2 linked regions of the Oryzias latipes genome follow. The protein of the gene in region 1 binds, or shares a complex with, the protein of each later gene. Links are inferred from orthologs where the notes say so. Each region holds a gene or a part of one and is shown in the gene's direction. Other genes may lie near its edges.

Region 1 (4,076 bases):
CAAGTGGATGCATCAGAATGGGGCGGAGCAGGGAGCCTGTGGCCCCGCCCGGCGGATTTTCTACGTCACAAATGCGATCTTTTACGAATACTCGGAAATGCAACTTTGAGCTTAGTTGTCTTAATCTGTAGCAGTCCTGTGGAGCTCGGTGCAGAATGCTCCTTACCCATAGACTGGATGGTGGATCCTGCAGACACATTCTGGTTGTTGGGGTCATTGACTCCCCCCTGGCCATCCAGCAGGGACTGGACTGCTAGAACGGTCTGGTTGTCCATGCCTGAGGGGATGGAGGGAAACAGGGATTTAACATCAGTAACAGCTTTTCTTTTTACAACATGTTAGAAGAAGATCTGCTTCTCCATGAAAGTGACAGAAACAATAACGCGAGGAGTGCATGTTCACATATTAATGAATAGCTTTTATTGTCACATGTACAGCTTTTACACTGACATACGAGATGAGTTATTATATTACAGAAATAATTAATATTACATTTACAAAAAAAGCCGTTTATAGCAGTACAGTCTTAATCTTTAAAATATAATCAGGTTGTTTACAATCATCATCATCAGATCAGGCAGAACCCTTCAGTTCAGGGTGCTTACAGCCTACATAATACCCGTTTAAAGGGTGATTTAGTGTTCAAACAAGTCTCCAGTTAATTTACATGATGTGGTTTTCTTTGGCATATAACATATTTAATAATTGCGCGGTAAATAAGACTATATTTGTACCTTCCAGCGCCTCGAATATTGTCTGCGCCATCTTACAGCGCTCCTGTTTACCATCGGTGATCGATTGGTAGGGTCTGTTACTTTAGGTGCAGACCCCCCAATGAAATGCTTACATTAATATTTGCAAATAGAAAAAAACTTATCACATTTGGTTCAGACCCCCAGAAAACTCTAGTTTAGAAAGTTCCTAAGCAATCAGATTTAACTTTATTTTTTGTTAATCTGATTGCTTAAACGGAGAGGGAGCGCTAGGGACTACATTGAAAAAACGTAACTTTTTTAAGCTGGGACGCAAAGACTGTTACATCATATATTTAATATGGTAAAGGAGTTTATCTTTTAGTTTTGGGAAACCTTACATGAAACTGACACTACGTGTTTTACTATTTTGTTTAAAATTTCCTAAACAAAGCAGTTAAGAAGCCTTTTGTCCGTGGAACGTGAATGCACCTCCCAATCAGCAAATCTGTGCTCTGGAGAGTCACAGACGGCCATCTCCGCCAATCAGAGAACACCAACCTGGTCACATGGAAGGCCAGTTTTCCCCATGCTCTGTAACGTGACAGACGGCCATTTCCACCAATCGGAAGACACCAATCGCGTCACGCGCAAAACGAATCCCACTGGCCAATCCCAGCGGTCGCTTTTCCCCACGTGCCAGTTTCGCGGCAAAAAGGATTTCGCGCGAAAACCGTCCAGCCTTGTTTAGATATAGATCAGCTGGGACAACAACAATGACGGCTGCTAATGGGGTCGGCGCGGCTCGTTTACAGATGGACCCGATCTTCGGCGAGCAGACGAAGGAGCATCGGCACATTTTTTAACGTTTGAGCGAGTATTTCCTCCGTTTTGTCTGCATCTCCCGCGTTTCTCCGAGTGCTTCCTGCGTGCCCCAACAGTACGAGGGGGACCGAAGAACTGCAGCTAATCCCTGAAGCTAGCATGCTAAAGTTCCCCGTATTTCCGCGCTAAACTCTCTGTCGTCGCCGTCGCCCGGACGGATGGTTGCTTTCTTTTGGGAACTATTTTCTCAAAGATGGTGTGGATCTGCGATCATGATGCCTCCGCCGAGTGAATGTGTATTTTTTTTATTGCTTAGATAGCCCAGTTCTGTGAGCGTCTATAAAGTTTTCCGAACCCGTTAATGAAGCCATATCGTAGGGAAAAGGAGATAAACTTTTAGGTAGTGGTGGTAAATGTAGTCCTCTGCTGTTGTTCGTGTTTATTAGCAAAGTTGTTGTAGTCTTTTCTTGTGGTAAGCTAGTTCGTTAGCTTGGTAGCTCTGTGTTTGAGGACGGAGTGGCGAGGCCTCTGACAGGAAAACGAAAGACTAGCAGGCTAGCTCGCTCATGATCTCAATTTACGGCGGGTTTCTTCTTCTACTTCGTCTTTTGACCTTCTTTTATTTCCGCTGAAAACGGCGCGCGAGCCGAGCAGCGCGTGAGCCTAAAGTAGGATGCGCTCAGCGGGTCGTTTCCTGTTTGGGCTCCACGTCTCGCCTTGACGTTTGAACCTTCGACTCCTCTGTGGTTGATCTGCAGATTTCAGGCTCGCTGTAGGTCAACCTTCAGCAGGAGGAGGAGGAGGAGGAGGAGAGGTTAATGGATCAGCATTTTCTCCTCAAGTCCTCCTAACATGTTTGGGGTCACCTGGTGCTGAGCCTGTTTTGATACCCCAGTTGGTGCCCCCACCCTCCCTGGCATTCCCCCAGTCTGCTGCAGGAGCCCTTTGGGCGGCAGGCAGTGCCATGTCAGAGACTCTGATAACGGGTCAGACATCCGAGGATCTGCTGAAGGACTTTGAGACTCTGCTGAACTCCGGGAGCATCGATCTGAGCCAGGACCACCAGATCGTCATCATCACCAGCCCCAGCAATGAGGGACTCCACCCGCTGGCCGCCCCCAGCAGCACGGGGGAAATCCTGCTATTCGCCACGCCGCAGAGCCACGCCGACGCGGGGGGCCAGGACAGGAGGAGGCCGGCTCTGGGAAGACCTCCGGTGAGGGCGTGGCTTCAAGGCGGCCGCCGCCGCCACATCATCACACGCCGGGGTTCACATAATCGATTCCTCTTCATTTGATGATTAGGTGAAGAGGAAGCTGGACCTGGATAGCGACCACCAGTATGTCAGCACCACCCGATCCTCCGCCAGCCAAGCACCTCCTTCTACTCCTGCTCCTCCCAGAGGTACGCCGCACGCTCAGGAGCAGGAGCGCCGACTCGGCATCCTTTCACGGCGCTGAAGCTGGCGTCCGGTTAGCGGGGGCACTAAAGGAACATTCCACTGCATTTTTCACCCTAAGACCACCTTAGACCAGGTCCTTTTCAGAAACCACAGGACCTGGGCTGCTCAAACCTGGATTAAAATTAGGATTTAGATAGTAAAGAATTCATTAAACACAGCTTCTGATTTATGAACATTGAAATGGGATGATTTTATGTAGTTGATCAATTTAAAATGATCTATTTTTAGTCTGCCGTCGTTTGGTGAGCTGCATTGCAGGCAGACGACACGAATTCACAAGAGGGGAGGCAACAGAATCCCAAACAACAGAGCGCTGCGAGCAGGAAAGCCACAAAAACTTTAAAATGATTAAATAAAAATGAGTCCAGGTCCAGCGGTTTTTCAAAAGGACCGGGTCTTAGGAGGACCCGGTGCGTAAAATACTATAAAATCCTCCTATTTCACATTTTCATGAGTCAGAAACTGTGTTTAATGAATTCTTTACTATCTAAATCCTAATTTAATGCAGGATAGAGCAGTCCAGGTCCTGTGTTTTTGAACAGGACCACCAATCATTTTACATCTTTTGGATTGCGTAACGCTCAGACTGACTCATGACATCATGGCGTCCACATGCTGCGTGAAGCGTTTCCGTCCGCAGACGTTTGGGGCCGTTGGGATGAGAAGTTGAAGGAGAATTTCTGCTGAAGGCTGAGCCTCAGTTCCTTTTGTTTTTTTATCACTGAAATCCACATTTGACCGTTCAGTTCTAAGATGTTTCCTTCAGCAGAATCTTCATCGGTGGATTTCTATTTTTAAACCACCAAAAGACCCGCCGTGGCTCCGAAATCCAGGTCCCGTGGCCACGTCAGAGAGGGCGGGGCTTGGAGTTTCTTTAAAGGCTGGTTATAAATATTACCTTAAAGAAAATAAAAGTTTCGATGGCGTGGTCCAAACGAGGCCTGCCTGTGCCGCTGGAACGTCTTCACAGCTGGAGTCGGAGGATCACCTGTTTTCCACCTGGATGTGTGTTTTGTTTGTGGAGGAGGTTTAAGGCGGCGTGTTTTTCACTGCTTTTCCAGTTCCTCGAAGCACGGCGGAGAAGTCGAGGTACGACA
Region 2 (3,500 bases), on another chromosome or scaffold:
TAATGGCTGATTTTGCTTATTTAATTTTTAATACATTTTAATTTATTGTTACTTTTAAACATTTCAAGTCATTTCAGTGAGCATTGTGGACTTTATTTAACTGAGGGGAACCAACAATATTGTCCACCACTGTAAGACGTCTTCGATTTCACGAAGTTAAAATCGAATTAATATGAGCGTTTTGTGACGAATATGTACTAGTCCACTGTCTTCTGAAGATAAATACGTTGATGGTTTATTAGAAAATACATTTAAATACATATTTTTGTAAAAATTGTTACGATGCAATGTATTGTGGTCTATAATCGCCGATCTAGTGAGCAGCGAAGCACACTGGTTTTTCGCAGAGACTTCTGTGAAATTTCTAGGGCACTTAGTTTTGGAATTTTAGATTCGGACAGCACTTCAAAATGGCAAAACACTATATGGTGAGTAGGGAAGGAATTAGGTCACAACATCCGAACATTCCCTTTGTCCGCACATTTTCTAATTTGGACGTTTTCTACACCAAAATCTATGCATTTTTATAAACTAAGCCCCAGGTCCAATTAAAGTCAAAGTTATTTCTGTGTTTATATTTGTTAAATGGCACAATACTGTGCTGTAAACCCCATATACTGTAATCTTCTCCTCAGGTGACTGATGTCAGCGAGCAGTATCAAGAGCACTACCTGAAGAGTGGAGACATTGATGGTCGACTGTTTTTCGATGGAGATGAAACCGTCCTTGCACCAAAAGTTGACATGTAATTTCTTTTTTCCCTCTCATCTTGGTTTCTGAGCTTTGTTGAAGAGTCTTGTTTGAGAGTCTGGTTCTGCCTTCAGTTCCCAGGTAGAGAGAACTCCCAAGAAGACCTCACCGGATGATGACGGGCCATTAATCCCTCCACAGACACCAATTAGGTTGACCAAACACATACACACACACACACACACACACACACCATCAAGTGGTAATTTATATATATCTATAAATGTTTTTCTTTTTCTTTACTAAAACTGACAATTTGTCTACTTAAGGGGAAGGGAAATGTCCAAAACCTAAATATTAATACAAAAATGTGTGAATAATTTTATATTATGAAAATATTTATAACATTTTTACATTTTTTAAATTTGGCCTGTAAAATTATTGACATACCAGATGCCATAAACTGGCTGTTTGAAAAGAAGGTATTCAAATTTACAAAACAAATACACATGTGAAAATAGGTGGAAACTTAACATTCGTTTTTATATCTGTAAGGGAAAATGTTTACATTGACATTACGAGACCTTTGTGGGTAATTATGGTACTTAACCTGGTATTAAATGTTTTTTTTAAGTCTCTGCATTTGTCCTTATTTTGAAACTTTCCTTCGCAGAGCTGCAATGAATTCTATCAAGATGCTGAGGGGTGACCTTCCCTCCAGTGGAGACCAGCCATCCTCTAATCTTGCGATATATTTTAAAGTGGGTCTGTTCAAAACACTGAAATGATGCTTTCTGTCAAATTGCAGATTTATACTTGCTTTTTTTGCTACTAATCTTTAGAACTGCACTGTGGACCCAACCCAGGGTATACAGAAGCGTTTGGAGATGCTTGGACAGGTGTTTAGCCAGAAGTTTGGTGAGGCCGTTGGACCGCATTGCATTGTGTATGGCAGAGAGGTATGAAATACCGCTATTATGTTCACTTTTATTAGATTTTCAGTTGCTAGATTTATTTCTCCAAATTTAAAAAAAATTAAGCAAGACTTAAAATGACAAAACATTGGATCAGAAAACAATCAAATCTATTTGTATGAATGAAAAGATTCTTCAGAATGGATCCAATTTATCAAGTTTGAGCACCAAAACTAGCTTCTTTCTATTTTCTTTTAACCACATCTTCCACTTTGCAGAAGATTTGACCTTTCAGAACATTTTGAGAGAGACAAAACACAAACCAGGGATCAGTTTAATGTGAAACCTACACCAGTGTTACTTACCTGTTGCTGCTCTTAACCTAATATTTCTCAATGTTGGCAAAACCCTTTAAAACGTATCATAATTTTAAATAATATTACCTATTTTCTTTTACTTTTCAGAGATTTACTCTTGGAGTTAGGCTGTATTACAAGGTCATGGAGGCAATGCTAGAATCGGTAAAGTTTTTTATTGTTGTTTTGTTTCAACAGATGTATTTAACTAAATGTATCTTTTTTGTCAAATAAACTTTAGAGTGCATACAGTGCTTGCCTTTAGAAAACCGTAGCAGACATATTTGAACAGTTTTATTGCTTTTATTTCAAAGGAGGAGAAGCGACTGTCTGTGCAAAATTTCAGGTAAATTTTGCATCTTTGTCGTGTTTGTGTGTAGTCAGGGACTCTTTACGCATTTAATTTTTTATTTTCTTTTGACACTGATCCTGCAGTTTTCTTTGCCTCACAAATCACTTGCTATAATTTTCAGCAAACTTCTCAATGACTCCACGTTTCACATGTCCCTTTTGGCTTGTGCTTTGGAAGTCGTCATGGCAACATACGAAGGTACATTCACCCATTAGCTTATGAAAAATAAATAAAGTTAAAGCTAGTTTATTAAAAAAAAGGTTATTTAATTTAATTTTTCTATAGGATTTCTGTTGGCATGGCTTTTCTGTTAAACATTTGCAAAAATGTTTGTGCTTCATGAATAGAGAGCAGTTTCAAAAACAGAGGATGCAGTCATGGAGAAGGCGACCAAGCAGTGAGAGACCTGTGTTTCCCGTGGATACTCGATGTGTTCGATCTCTCCGCCTTTGACTTCTACAAAGTCATCGAAAGCTTCATCAAGGCTGAACCAACTCTGAGCAAAGATATTATCAAACATCTGGAGACGTGTGAGAACCTCATCATGGAGAAGATCGCATGGAGGACGGTCAGTTACACTACTCACCTTTCTTTAAACCAGTGCATCCTGCAAGCATGCAGAGTATTAAAGACATCATTGACTCAAATATGAAATAAATTATTTTAATTACAGAAAAGGAAACACGTTTTAGCAAATAGGTACAGGCTGTAACACAGTGGCAGGTTTTCATCAGGGTTCAGAACAGAAAGGAGATGCTTTACATAAGGCTGTGCCACTTCCCTGCTTTTGCACGACTCACTACTTTGGTCAACACACAAAAACACTTCAGATAATTGTAGAAAAAAAACACTTTACTTTGCTAAAACCACAAACTCTAAATCAGCATTTTGAGCTAAAGCAAAAAAAATAAAAAGGTATTTGACACAAAAAAAATTCAGACTGAAGACACAGCATGAAAGACTTGTTGCGTTGTTTTTAGAGCCTCTGTGCATTCAGTTATTTAGAGATAGATTAAAATGTTTTTCTTTAGCAGCTTTGGTTACACTTTTTGCAGTCATGCTTGTGCTAATTTTGTTTCTGAATATTACCACAGTGAATTTTAAACAAAACAACTCAGATGCCATTGAAGTGCAGACTTTCAGCTTTTATTCCATGGGTTGAACAAAAAGATTGCACAAAAATTTGAA

The links. The genes of interacting proteins can lie anywhere in the genome.
Region 2: the proteins of e2f1 (region 1) and rb1 are in contact, whole or in part, in a crystal structure (PDB 2AZE), measured with the Homo sapiens proteins. The link is inferred for Oryzias latipes from reciprocal best matches to the Homo sapiens genes E2F1 and RB1. Residues at the interface, in NP_005216.1 of Homo sapiens: Ala267, Pro268, Pro269, Glu270, Thr271, Gln272, Leu273, Gln274, Ala275, Val276, Asp277, Ser279, Glu280, Asn281, Phe282; in NP_000312.2 of Homo sapiens: Ser829, Arg830, Ile831, Leu832, Val833, Ser834, Ile835, Phe845, Ile848, Met851, Val852, Asn854, Ser855, Arg857, Val858, Leu859.

What each region holds. Positions count from the first base shown.
Region 1 is NC_019865.2:2,000,237-2,004,312, reverse strand, and holds the start of e2f1 (transcription factor E2F1), read left to right. Parts: upstream 1-1,276; 5' UTR 1,277-2,185; intron 2,186-2,275; 5' UTR 2,276-2,481; coding exon 2,482-2,733; intron 2,734-2,821; coding exon 2,822-2,921; intron 2,922-4,040; coding exon 4,041-4,076. Other genes in the region: znf341 (zinc finger protein 341), read right to left, coding at 167-277, 735-765. UniProt on the Homo sapiens protein: Transcription activator that binds DNA cooperatively with DP proteins through the E2 recognition site, 5'-TTTC[CG]CGC-3' found in the promoter region of a number of genes whose products are involved in cell cycle regulation or in DNA replication.
Region 2 is NC_019872.2:15,926,888-15,930,387, reverse strand, and holds part of rb1 (retinoblastoma-associated protein), read left to right. Parts: intron 1-635; coding exon 636-745; intron 746-824; coding exon 825-902; intron 903-1,363; coding exon 1,364-1,451; intron 1,452-1,532; coding exon 1,533-1,649; intron 1,650-2,068; coding exon 2,069-2,125; intron 2,126-2,274; coding exon 2,275-2,306; intron 2,307-2,433; coding exon 2,434-2,510; intron 2,511-2,659; coding exon 2,660-2,880; intron 2,881-3,500. UniProt on the Homo sapiens protein: Tumor suppressor that is a key regulator of the G1/S transition of the cell cycle. The hypophosphorylated form binds transcription regulators of the E2F family, preventing transcription of E2F-responsive genes.